Linked DNA regions of Cricetulus griseus. Each later gene encodes a partner of the first gene's protein in a complex. Links are inferred from orthologs where the notes say so. Each region holds a gene or a part of one and is shown in the gene's direction. Other genes may lie near its edges.

Evidence for each region. Proteins that work in one complex are often made in the same cells at the same time.
Region 2: Srrm1 (region 1) and Scnm1 share a complex: the UniProt entries of both Homo sapiens proteins name them as parts of the minor spliceosome. The link is inferred for Cricetulus griseus from reciprocal best matches to the Homo sapiens genes SRRM1 and SCNM1.

Annotation. Positions count from the first base shown.
Region 1 is NC_048595.1:17,950,180-17,955,870, forward strand, and holds the end of Srrm1 (serine/arginine repetitive matrix protein 1), read left to right. Parts: coding exon 1-150; intron 151-1,372; coding exon 1,373-1,582; intron 1,583-2,803; coding exon 2,804-2,908; 3' UTR 2,909-3,828; downstream 3,829-5,691. UniProt on the Homo sapiens protein: Part of pre- and post-splicing multiprotein mRNP complexes. As a component of the minor spliceosome, involved in the splicing of U12-type introns in pre-mRNAs. Involved in numerous pre-mRNA processing events.
Region 2 is NW_023276806.1:61,365,858-61,372,787, forward strand, and holds Scnm1 (sodium channel modifier 1), read left to right. Parts: upstream 1-2,720; 5' UTR 2,721-2,836; coding exon 2,837-2,887; intron 2,888-3,272; coding exon 3,273-3,343; intron 3,344-3,582; coding exon 3,583-3,671; intron 3,672-3,768; coding exon 3,769-3,863; intron 3,864-3,963; coding exon 3,964-4,052; intron 4,053-5,398; coding exon 5,399-5,593; intron 5,594-6,243; coding exon 6,244-6,343; 3' UTR 6,344-6,408; downstream 6,409-6,930. Other genes in the region: Lysmd1 (lysM and putative peptidoglycan-binding domain-containing protein 1), read right to left, coding at 1,740-1,935, 2,487-2,599. UniProt on the Homo sapiens protein: As a component of the minor spliceosome, involved in the splicing of U12-type introns in pre-mRNAs. Plays a role in the regulation of primary cilia length and Hedgehog signaling.

The DNA of each region.
Region 1 (5,691 bases):
CGATCTGTCTCTGGATCTCCTGAGCCAGCAGCTAAAAAGGCCCCAGCACCTCCATCTCCTGTCCAGTGTCAGTCGCCCTCCACCAACTGGTCCCCTGCAGTGCCCGTCAAAAAGGCTAAAAGCCCAACACCAAGCCCGTCCCCTGCAAGGGTGTGTGTGTGCCCTGTTCTGGGCATCTTTATCATTAGTCATGGGGGTTGATGGTGGGTGCTTAAGATGGTGAGTGCTTACAGTCCCAGCACTTGGTGGGCAGCAGCAGGATCAGGACTTGAAGGCCAGCCTGGGTTGTACAGTGAGATCCTGTCTCAAAAACAGTTGAGTTACAAGTTAGTTAAATTCTTACATAAATTTAGTGTAAAGATAGTCTGCTGTATGGTGGTTCCATTAAATAATCTTTGATTCTGTGGTATGAGAGTGATCTATGTTCAATAGAAACCACACTTTGAATTTTTGGGGGGTGGGGGAGTATTTCGAGACAGGGTTTCTCTGTGGCTTTGGAGGCTGTCCTGGAACTAGCTCTTGTAGACCAGGCTGGCCTCGAACTCACAGATCTAACTGCCTCTGCATCTCAAGTGCTGGGATTAAAGGTATGCGCCACCACCGCCCAGCTTGAATTTGAATTTTGATCCTCTTTTCTAGGTTAGTGAACAGCACAAACTGTTACTGATATTCAGTGAATTAGTGAGCAATTCAACATTACTGCAGTCAGCTTTGTATTAGACAACTACGTAGCTGTAGGCCAGTGTGTGTTCTGAGCATGCTGAAGGCAGTATGGCTAAGCCATGGGTTGGGGAGGTGTAAAGATAGATTTTACTTAGGTGGGATGTAACTTAGAGGGTTTATTAAGTTGCAGCCCTGTTGTAAATGGAACATTTGGGCTAGTAAGGAAGATGGCTCTGTGGGTACAGGTACTTGCCTCCAAGCCTGAAAACCTGAGTTCAGTTCCCAGGACCCACAGTGTAGGAGAGAACTAATTCCTGTAAGTGGAACATCTCTGTACAGCAGAGTGAAGTTGTGGTTCAGGTTTTATTCTGGCATTTTTTGGATTCATATCTGGCATCGTATACTGAGATCCTGCTATGTGTTTTGTATTATATGAGGTTGTCCCTGCTCGTGTCCAGGAGCTGGGAGGCAGCTCATGGTCAGCCCATGGCTCCAGCTGTCGGCACCTCCATCACACCCTGAAGCTAGAAACGCTGGCAATAATAGAAGGGAAAGTGGCTTTGTGGGCGACCTTGGCTTTGGTGCGTCACCGCTGGTATTGGTGTCTGTGCACTTCTGTGCAACATTTATTTGTCTGAGATTCCCTCTAGGAAATAAAACAGGATTTTAATCAGATCAATTACATCACTGTTTCTTTCTGGGTTTCTAGAATTCTGATCAAGAAGGAGGTGGAAAGAAGAAGAAGAAAAAGAAGGACAAGAAACACAAAAAGGATAAGAAACACAAGAAGCACAAAAAACACAAGAAGGAGAAGGCTGTGGCTGTAGCCACTGCAGCTCCTGCCACCCCTGCAGCTATTTCTGCTGCCACAACCACATCAGCACAGCAAGAGCCTGTGGCAGCCACAGAGCCCAGGAAGGTATTCACCCACCACCTCTGCTCTGCTAGCTGCTACTCAGGGCTAATGTTTCCTGAGGCCTTCCAGGACCAAGGAGAAGAGTACAGATGGCTTCCCAAAAGCTTAATGCTCCAGTGCCTGTCCTGGAACTTACTCTGGGGATCAGGCTGGTCTCAAACTCACAGAGATCCGCCTGCCTCTGCCTCCCGAGTGCTAGGACTAACTAAAGGCATGCGCCACCACTGCCCAGTTTTTTAATTTTTTAAACTACTTTCTGGGCAGTGCTGGGACAAGAGCACAGTGCAGGACTTTTTGCTGTGCGTTAGGCATGTGTGCTTCCACTGAGCACACCCCTAGTCACACATACTAAATGCAACCAAAAAAAAATTCACATAATGGGAAAAGGTGGCGGGGGCTCCCAAATAACCAACAGTGGCTGGTTTTGTGTGTGTTCATCCATTGTGTACATGTAAAAGCCATTGGTATCCCCTTTTTTTTTTCCCCCGTGTTTTTATTGCATTTTATTTGTGTGTACACGAAGACACCCGAACATCTACACAGAAAGGTCAAGACAATTTTGACTAGTTAGCCTTCCACCATGTGGAGGAGTACTTTTGAGCAAACATGAGTCATTAGGGTTAGCCAGATGGTGGTGGCGTGTGCCTTTAATCCCAGCACTCAAGAGGCACTCTGTGAGTTTGAAGCCAGCCTGGTCTACAAAGCTACATAGAGGAACCACATACAAGTCATCAGGGTTGGTGGCAGGCTCCCTAAGCTATCTTGTCTGGAGTTCACTATTTCAAATAGACTGGACCACCTCCCCAGCACTTGGGGTTGCAGGTGCACTGCTACCAGGGGACCCTAACTCAGATCCTCGTGCCTGCATAGCAAGCATAGGTCTTACGACTCAGTTTGTGGAGGGCTTGCTTAGCAGGCTCAAGGCCTTGGGTATGGTTCCCCAAGCCCCAGATAAACTGGGTGTGGTACTGTGGGTGCTTGTAAGGCCAGCACTTGGGAGGCTGAGGCAGAAAGATCCGAGGCTCATGGTTGTTCTGGCTCCTTAACAAGTTCTAAACAAGCCTGGGATACGAAGAGACACCTGTCTTAGAAGTCATGATTTAAAGTGGGTGCTTTTTATATAAGCAGAGTGTATTGTTGCTGCAGTTTGGCTCTGGTCTGTACTCAGCATCTCCTGCTGTGTCTCAAGCCTTAACATCTGCCTGGTTTGGCTTTGTTTTCCAGGAGACTGAAAGTGAAGCTGAGGACAACCTTGATGACTTAGAGAGGCACCTTCGGGAAAAGGCCCTTCGGTCCATGCGGAAGGCTCAAGTGTCCCCACAGTCCTAGGGGGACATGTTTGTTACGTTGTAAATTTTATTTGGTTTGTACTCAATTTCAAAATTGCTAAAATGTGTTTGAGCTTTAGACTATAACATTTGTTGTAATAATTGCTAGGTTGAAGTTCACCATGGGTTTTTCTTTTTTTTTCTTTTTTTTTTTTTTCTTTTTTTTTAAAGAGGGCATGGATTTACATTACAAAGGTGTCCACAGTGTATTAGTGACATTCTTCCATTGACATTTAGAGTGAAATATTTTAAGCCCCCCCAAAAAAAGATTTTTTTTTAAGGGCATTTAAATATTGTTGGCATTCTTGTGGTTCCTTTAAATGCCTTTGCCTCCCCTCCCCGCCTGTTTTTCTTCCTTCCTCTTGAATTTTGGGATCCATGTGAATTATGCTTACAACCTTGTATAGGTTTGTAAGCTTGCCCAGAAGTGAGACCACTGTGAAGTACCACAAAGGTCTGAGTGAGTGTTTTCACTCCCGTTGTCTCTGCCGACACCTCGGGATCTCAGCTCTAGAGAGCAGGGGAGGCACTGCTCATGGGTGCTGGAGATTCTGTCCGAGTGTGACAGCTTCCTAAGTTGATTTACAACTCTGGGATTTTTGTCCTCTTTAGGTTGATTTGTTTTGTTTTTCTGTCTCCCCCTTTTTTCTTTCTCTTTTGTAAAGGCAATTTGCTAGACCCAGCAAGGACCCTTCAGTTACATAAATTTGTTTTATGAAACTGCATGGGCCCATCCATATTTTTTTCCCTTACTCTTCCAATTGGTACACAAAACTGAAGAGCTCTTGCATTGGCAGGCTGGGAGGGCCTGGACTTGGACATAGTGTCTTGGTTTCACTGTTTTATTTTATTTTATTTTTTAACTAAAGCTATATAAAGCTTGTGGATTAAACAGAATAAATTTCTAAATTTAAAAACGTTGCCACTCACTTTAACTCACTTGCCTGGGTACTACAAGACAACTCCACCATCTTGGTAGAACTGGATGTGCAGGGAAAATGAGAATCGATGAAGCAGGATTTTCCCCTTTTATTTACTAATTAACTTCAGAGAGTGCTAGAGGGGAAAGTGTGGTGAGTTCTTGGAACATGAGAAGCGGGGGAGGGTAATTCGACAGCAAAAGCAGATGTCTTTGAGGCAGATCGTTGAGGCAGATCGCACAGTATCATTGCCCTCAGGTTTGGGGGGGCAGGGCCTAGCACTCCCAGAAAGGAACTTACTTGGAGGTGGGCCAGAGAATGTGAGGCAGAGCAGTCACCTTTGTATGAGAAAGGAGCTGAGAGCTTGGGCACCAGGAGTCTCAGCTGATTATTTGGATCCATGGGTACATTTGTTAGTAATTTCTGACACTTGACACAGAAACGCAAGATGCTCAGGTCTTAATTTCAGGAAAACTTGGGTTTGGGTTTGGTTTGGTTTGGTTTGGGGTTTTGATGTTTTCTTGTTTTTGTTTACTTTATTTATTGGCTTTTACCCAAAAGACCTCAGTAGTGATGGGCTGATTCTACATGGGGTTATAATAAAGAAAGGCATACTAAATGAAGATAGTCCCGAAGGACTCCCCAGCTGACAATAGAGTTTCACATGAGAGCAGAACTTTCCAGGTTCTCCCATGTATTACAAGTAAGTGGAAACTAAACGTGGAGACATGGGAGAAGCAGTGTTCAGCTTCTGGAAGGTTGATTGCCAGCATAAACAACCAGTGAGCACCATTGGAATATTTCCATCTGTTTAGCCCTTCATCTGGAGCATTTATGACTCGATTCCTGCTACTCATGAGTTTTCATTCTTTCCCTTCGGCTGCCCTTGGCCATAGCTGTACTCAACTGAAGCCAGATCAACAGCAGTCTTTGGCTACACGGGGAAGTCAGGTTGTTTAGAGGCTAACCCAGGCTACATGACATCTTGTCTGGAAGATGGATCCAGGTGTGTTAGCACACATCTGTAATCCCAGCACTCAGGAAACAACTGGAGGGTCATCCTTCCGAGCCTTGTCTCTGGTTTCCTTTGAGACAGGGTCTTGCTGTTGAATTCATGAACTCAAGTGATGCAACAAGATGAGTCAGCATTTCACTTGGACTCAAAAAATAATAAAGAAGCTGGGGGTGGTGCACGCCTTTAATCCCAGCACTCCGGAGGCAGAGGCAGGCGGATCTCTATGAGTTGGAGTCTAGCCTGGTCTACAAGAACTAGTTCCAGGACAGCCTCCAAAGCCACAGAGAAACCCTGTCTCAAAAAACCAAAATAATAATAATAAAAGAAAATGAAGGAAGTGGGAAGGAGACTAGAGCTGGGTGTGGTCAAGATGTTTGTTGTTGTTACACATGTGAGATTGCCAAAAATTATAGCATTTTTGTTTCTTTTTAAAGAAAGGGGCTGGAGGTGTAGCTCAGTTGGTAGTATCTACCTAACATCTCCAACGCCCTGGGTTCAATCCCAGCACTGTGTAAACCAGGGGTGGGACCCCTGCATTTCCAGCACTTGGAAATTGTCTGCTAAAGAATCAAGTTCAGGTTAAGATGAGATCTCGGGGAAAAAGGGAAAAGTTAGGGTTTGAAGTGATGTATATGTTCAAGACTGTTGTGATGGCTCAGCAGTTAAGAGCACTCCTTACATTAATAGAACAAGGGCCTAGAGAGATGGCTTAAATGGTAAGAGCACTGGCTGCTCTTCCAGAGGTCCTGAGTTCAATTCCCAGCAACCACATGGTGGCTCACAACATCTATAATGAGATGCAGCGCCCTCTTCTGTAGTGTAGGCAAATATGCATACATAGTAAATAAA
Region 2 (6,930 bases), on another chromosome or scaffold:
CTCCTCACTAGCCCCAGCAGAAAGTGTCTAGCTTTCTCTCTTCTGCATTCTACCACTTCAACTCACCCTTGGTCTGGAATCCCTTTGCCTAGGCATCCTAACGGCTGAGATTATAGGTCTGAGCCACCAAGCCTGGCTTTCAGACATTTTTTTTTTTCCTGATTCCAGACAGGGTTTCTCTATGTAACAGCCTGTTCTGAAACTCACTCTATAGACCAGGCTGGCCTCAAACCCACAGAGATCCACCTGCCTCTGCCTGCAACACTACACCAGCAGCTTTCAGAAAACTTTTAAACTTCCATGTCATTGAGACTATGCCAGAACTTAGAGACATAAAGTTGAAAGGAAACTTTCTTCTCTTAAAGAGCCTGTAGACTGCAGGAAGACAAGGAGACAAACATCTGGGCTCACAGACTGCAGAAGGGAACACAGAGGGAAAAGTTCCCAAGTCTTCAAGGCCCATATGACAGTACTCCTAAAACCCACGCCCCCGAGTGCCTTGTTCACACTCCTCATCTCAGCACTCAAGATAAAAGAGCACTTTAAGTTCCAGGCCAGTTTAGGCTACACAGTGACATACTGACTAGAAAATCCACCCTGCTGTCAGTGGTGACACACACCTTTAATCCCAGCACTCAAGAGGCAGGCGGATCTCTGTGAGTTCGAGGCCAGCCTGGTCTACAGAGGAGTTCCAGGGCAGGCTCCAAAGACAGAGAAATCCTGTCTCAAAAAAACAAAATATAACAAAAAAAAAAAAAGAAAGAAAGAAAAAAAGAAAGAAAGAAAATCCACCCTCCCCACCACACACAAAAATCAACTAATACCCACTCTCAATTCCAAACAAAAATTAACAGCTCCTGATATCCCGCCCCTTGCGAATATTTCTACATAGCCATTCTTCTTCTCTATTCTCATGAGAATTTAAATTACTTGAGCACACCAATACACATTTATGCTTTATCTCCAGGAAGGGTTACTATAATGCTTTAAGTACAGCAAGCAGGGAAATTTGTCTAAATTCAACATTTGTTTGTATGTGGTAAAAAGGATAGAGAGGGGGAGGCTACAACTTTAATTTTTATGCCCATCAAACTTCTCCTAGGTGTGACCAGAAATGTTTGATGTATATAGAGGGTACTTGTTTTGTGCCTCGCCGGAAAGAAAGCACAGAGTGGAAAGAACTAGAAACAGGCACTTTAGGAACTCTACTAACACAGTTCTTTCTGACTTGTGTAAATGTTTACTCACTTTTAGTTTTTTTGTTCGTGGCTAATAGTAGGGGACTTAGAGTCAGACAGACCTATCTGAAACCTTACTCTGACACTCAAAGTTATTTGACCTTGATCAAACTGGTTATCCGTCTTACGTCTCACGGTGAGTCTCACGGTGAGTCTCACGGTGAGTCTCACGGTGAGTCTCACGGTGAGTCTCACGGTGAGTCTCACGGTGATAGGGGCACAAGATCCAAATAGGTTAATGGCTATAAACCACACCCCAACCACCACCCTATCCCGGCATCCAACCCAATCCAAGGAGCTGCTCCTCCCACTGGGATAGTAGGGCAGGTCTGTGAGTGTGGATAGTGCTACCCTGAGAGGTGTAAACAAAATAAGACAAAGCAGAGACCACAATATAATTAATATAACATCAGGGAAGGCCGCTTAGCAGACCACCCAGTTTCTCCTGGGCACTAAATCTCTCCTGAATGGTCACCACACCACAATCCTTGGAAGACTCACCGTCACCCCGTATTTGAGTGCTAGTCCAGCCAGGGTGTCTCCAGGCTCCAACTGATGCTCCAAGCGTCTTTCCCTCACCGGGGAGCACGATGATTGTACCAGGCTTCCATAAGAACGAGCACGGCTCCCATGCAGCAGCCCTGACCCCCCAAGTGGGGGCTGTCTAGAGGGAGAAGCCATCTCAAGATGCCAAGATCTAGGGTCACAACTGAGGAAAGCTAAGTGACCAACAGTGAGGGCCGAACCCCAGGAATGGATAGATATTCTAGGAATTCCTTCTCACTTCTCTCTTTAGTGTCCCCGCTCTCGAGAGACTACATCAATGCTCCTCTTGCTGCTGCTTACCGAGCTTGGGGTCACAGTCCGTACCCTAAGAAGGCTGCCAGGCCGGTTACATTTCTCCTTCCTCAAGACCCTTGCCCATAAATATCTTCCCTGAGTGGTCGGTCGCCGACCCCTTCGACTTTCGACGCCCTCTCCCCAACTCCTTGCAAGCCTGATCTCTGACCTTTGAACCCTAGACACCCTCATCAACACTCTCCCCTCAGTGTGTCCCCACGTCCCGCAGCCGGGCCGCCGGGAGCCCCCACATCCTCTCTGCTCCAAATCAGGCCCACCCCAGGTAGATCGTGGCTGTGGACGGTGAGCCTGGGGACTGAGAGAGTTTGCAGTACACGGTCCACTGAGATCCCCGAAGCCTCGCTCCACGCCAGGAGGGTCCCACCCTGAAACTCCGGCTCCACGTACAGGTTCTTGGTCTCCAAACACCTGGGTCCTTCGCGATGTGAGTGCCTGTACTCAGGTGAGCGGTGAGGTCTTTTAAAAACAACAAAAAAAAGAAAATAACTAAAAGACTTCATTTCCCAAAAGGCAAAGCGTTCTCAGGGCATCATAGGAAATGCAGGCACCCTCAGGGCTCTGGAGGCGGGTCTTCCGGCTCGCGCGGTGCATGCGTGGAAACGCATCCCCGGAAGTAAAGACTTAATCAGAAAAAGACCGGAAGCAGGGAAGGCGATAACCTACTCTTCCTACGGTGGCCCGAAGGAGAGGCAAAGTAGGCGTAGGAGAATTTATTATTTCTAAGACTCACAGTCGTGATGTCTTTCAAGAGGGAAGGTGACGACTGGAGTCAGCTCAATGTGCTCAAAGTAAGCCCTAGTGAGAGTCTACCCACGAGCAGTGGTGGCGCACGCTTTGAATCCCAGCACTTGCGAGGCAAAAGCCGGTGTGTCCGTGTTGCGTTTGAGGTTCGAGGCCAGCCTGGTCCACACAGCCAGCTCTAGAACAGTCAAGGCTACACGAAGAAACCCTGTCTCGAAAAATCAAAGAACTAGAGAGAGGGAGAGCCCAGCTTCAGTCGCGCTTTGCATTGTTTTGTTGCTCTGGCGACATCTGTGGGAGGGGGTTTCGGGGGCCAGAACTGAGTGATGCCTCCTCCTTCTTACCCTATGGTCTGCTCCATTTGACTCTTTATCCCTGTTATTTCTTTTCATCCATCCCTCATATTCGTTTCTCCTGTCCTGCTCTCTGCAGAAACGAAGAGTTGGAGACTTGCTGGCCAGTTACATCCCAGAGGATGAGGCGCTAATGCTGCGGGATGGACGGTGAGAGCAGAGTGGATCAAGCCTGGGGATTTGCTATCAGAGGCTCAACAGACTTTGGTTTCTAAGGAGATCAGGAGTGTAATAGATCCTTTGGTTGGAAGTGAAGATTGGAAGAGGTGGCGATCGGGAGACCTGGGCGTTGGTGGAGTGCTTTGACAGGCATAGCCCCTAAGTAGGAACACCCCAACCACCGGCTCTCCAACACATACGGGTTTGCCATTCACTTCTCTTTTCCCTAGCTTTGCTTGCGCTATCTGCCCCCATCGACCAGTCCTGGACACGCTGGCCATGCTGACTGCCCACCGTGCAGGCAAGAAGCACCTATCCAGTAAGTACAGGAGAAGGCGGGGAGTGGAGGAATGATAGAGAATACACTCTGAACATTTTGTCAGTCTACTTGATGTTGTGCTTGCTTTCCTTTTCAGGTTTGAAGCTCTTCTATGGCAAAAAGCAATCAGGCAAGAAAACAGAGCAAAAACCAAGACAGCAAAATGAATTGAAGACAGAAAGCAAAGCCGAGGTGAGAGATCTGGTCAGGTGTTGTTCAGGCAGGGCTGTACTGCATGCAACAGGACTTTTGCCTAACATCTCCAACTGTGTCTTCTTCTCTTGATAACCAGGCACCTTTGCTAACCCAGACTCGATTAATCACCCAGAGTGCTCTGCACAGAGCTCCTCACTATAGCAGTTGCTGCCGGAGGAAGCACAGGTCTGTAGAGGGGGAAATCCGGAAGTGGGAAAGGGTAGAAGGAAATAGATGGTTCTGAAGTTACTGCTCTCCAAACTGTACTCTGAGAAACACTAATCTTGTGGAGATGTTGTTTAAAGAAAAATGATAGTTTGTGGTTTGTTTTGTTTTTGTTTTTTGTTTTGGTTTTTCAAGACAAGAGTTTCTCTCTGTAGCTTTGGAGCCTATCCTGGCACTTGCTCTGGTGACCAGGCTGGCCTCGAACTCACAGAGATCCCCCTGCCTCTGCCTCCTGAGTACTGCAATTAAAGGCGTGGGACACCATCGCCTGGTGATAGTTTGTGATTTTAAAATAAATTTTAGCCGGGTGTTGGTGGCTCACACTTTAATCCCAGCACTCCGGAGACAAGGCAAGTAGATCTCTGATCTATAGAGTGAGTTCCAGGACAGCCAAGTCTACACCAAACAAACAAAAACCCTGCCTTGAAAAACAAAATAATGCACACACACACAAAAAAATAGTAACATTATTGCTGGATGGTGGCACACGCCTTTAATCCTGGCACTCCAGAAGCAAGGCCAGTGGGTCTCTGAGTTCCAGGCCAGCCGGGGCTACAGAGGAAAAAAAAAAAAAAGTAACATAATCTGGGCATAGTGGTACACTTTTTTGTTTGTTATTGAGAGGGGATCTCCCTTTGTAGCCCTGGCTGTCCTGGAACCCTGCTATTTAGACCAGGGTGGCCTCAAACTTACAGAGATCTGCCTTTCTCTGCCCCTTAAGTGCTGCAGGTACTAAAAGTGTGTACCACCATACCTGGTTATGGAAAATCTTGAGGCAAAAGCGTAGAACTATTAAGCTGGCTTTTCTCAAGTTCCTAATTCCAAAATCTTTCATATGTAAAATATTTAAGATCTTATGGAACTCAAGCTGGGTGTGGTGGTATACACTTTTAATCCCAGTACTTAGGAGGCAGAGGCAAGTGGATCTCTGTAAATTTAAGGACAGCCTCATCTACCTAGTAAATTCCAGGTCCATCATATGTACTCTATCTCCAAAAAAGCAAACAAAAAAACCTCAGGAACTAGCCAGGCAGTGGTGGCTCACGCCTTTAGTCCCAGCACTCTGGGAGGCAGAGGTAGGCAGATCTCTGTGAGTTCTAAACCAGCCTGATCTACAAGAGCTAGTTCCAACAGCCTCCAAAGCCACAGAGAAACCTTGTCTCAAAAAACCGAGGAAAAGAAAAAAAAAAAAAACAAAAAACTCAGGAACTCAGTTTAGGAAACACTGCTCTTCAGGCTTGGGAGGCACGGGGAAGCTGCTACTTTCCTTCTGTGCATTTAACAGGCTTGGTTTCTTTTCTCCCCAGACCAGAGGCTCCTGCTCCCTCTGTCTCCAGTTCTCCTTTGCCTGCCCCAGAGGTTGGACTCCAGAGTGCAAAGATCAGTAGGGAACCTGAGACTAAGGCAGGATCACATGCCAAAGAGTCATCAGATCTCCTGGCCTCTGCACCCATAAGCCCCACAAAACGACGAGTCCTGAACCATTACCTTACCCTCCGAAGGTTAGTCTGCCGAATCACATTCCTTGGGTTTCTTTCATTTTCCCAACCTGACGTTTTTCAAACCCACCCAATTGCTTTTATCTTGTCACCAGTAACTTTTTAAAAAATAAAATTACAGCCGGGCGTTGGTGGCGCAAGCCTTTAATCCCAGCACTCAGGAGGCAGAGGCAGGCGGATCTCTGTGAGTTGGAGGCCAACCTGGTCTCCAGAGCGAGTGCCAGGATAGGCTCCAAAGCCACAGAGAAAACCCTGTGTCGAAAAACCAGAAAAAAAAAATTAAATTACATTTATTTACTTATTTATGTAGGGGCATACTTGTGTTAAGTCAGAGGACAACTTATAGGGGTTGGTCCTTTCTTTATACCCTGTGGCTCCCGGGGATGGAACCCAGTACCACAAACCTTTTTCATAAAACTCTTCCCTGGCCGGGGGGTGGTGGCGGCGCACACCTTTAGTCCCAGCACTCCGGAGGCAGAGGCAGGTGGATCTCTGTGAGTTTGAGACCAGCCTGTTCTACAAGAGCTAGTTCCAGGACAGCCTCCAAAGCCATAGAGAAACCCTGTCTCGAAAAAAAAAAAAAAAAAAAGAAAAGAAAAAGTAGATAAATAAAACTCTTCCCTGACCAGTTGTTTTTTCTCTGATGTTTTCAGCTCTGGATGGATCCCAGATGGACAAGGTCGATGGATAAAAGATGAAAATGTTGAATTTGACTCCGATGAGGAAGAGCCCCCTGACCTCCCCTTGGACTAATAACCGTCTCCCCATTTGTTCCACAAATAAACTACAGTGGGTCCTGGGAGCCTAATAATCCTCCAGTCAGGTTCCTTGTTCAATCTTAGGCTTTCAAATCTGTTCATCCTCAACTTGGCCACTCCTTTCCTGCAACGTACATGGCTCCCCATACTTCTGACCCCTCCCCCACTTGCCAAAAGCCTTGCCAAGCGTCAGCTGCGTTCAGCCTGGTGCCCTATTAATAAGTCTGTCAGAAAGAGGTCTCTGCCCTTCGTGTACTCTGACTCCTTCCCCACCTCCACTCTAGGTCCTTTCTCTTCAGATCACATGGGGACTGCCAATGGGCACTATGGGGGCTCTGGCCACCTCTCTCTGCAAAGAGGACCGAGGCCAAGTACCCTGCGGAGAGGCTAAAGCCTTTGGCAGATTTATGGGGAACACAAGGGACAGAGCCCACCCCCCCTCCTAGTAACCTGAACCTCCCTGCCTGCTGATCCCCAGAGTATAAATAATCCCTTGATGAACTGGCAGTACCCCTTGAGTGGTAGCGCCAAGATTCCCACCCCAACCCAAGGAAGGAGACAGGCGGCGTGAACAAAAGGGAT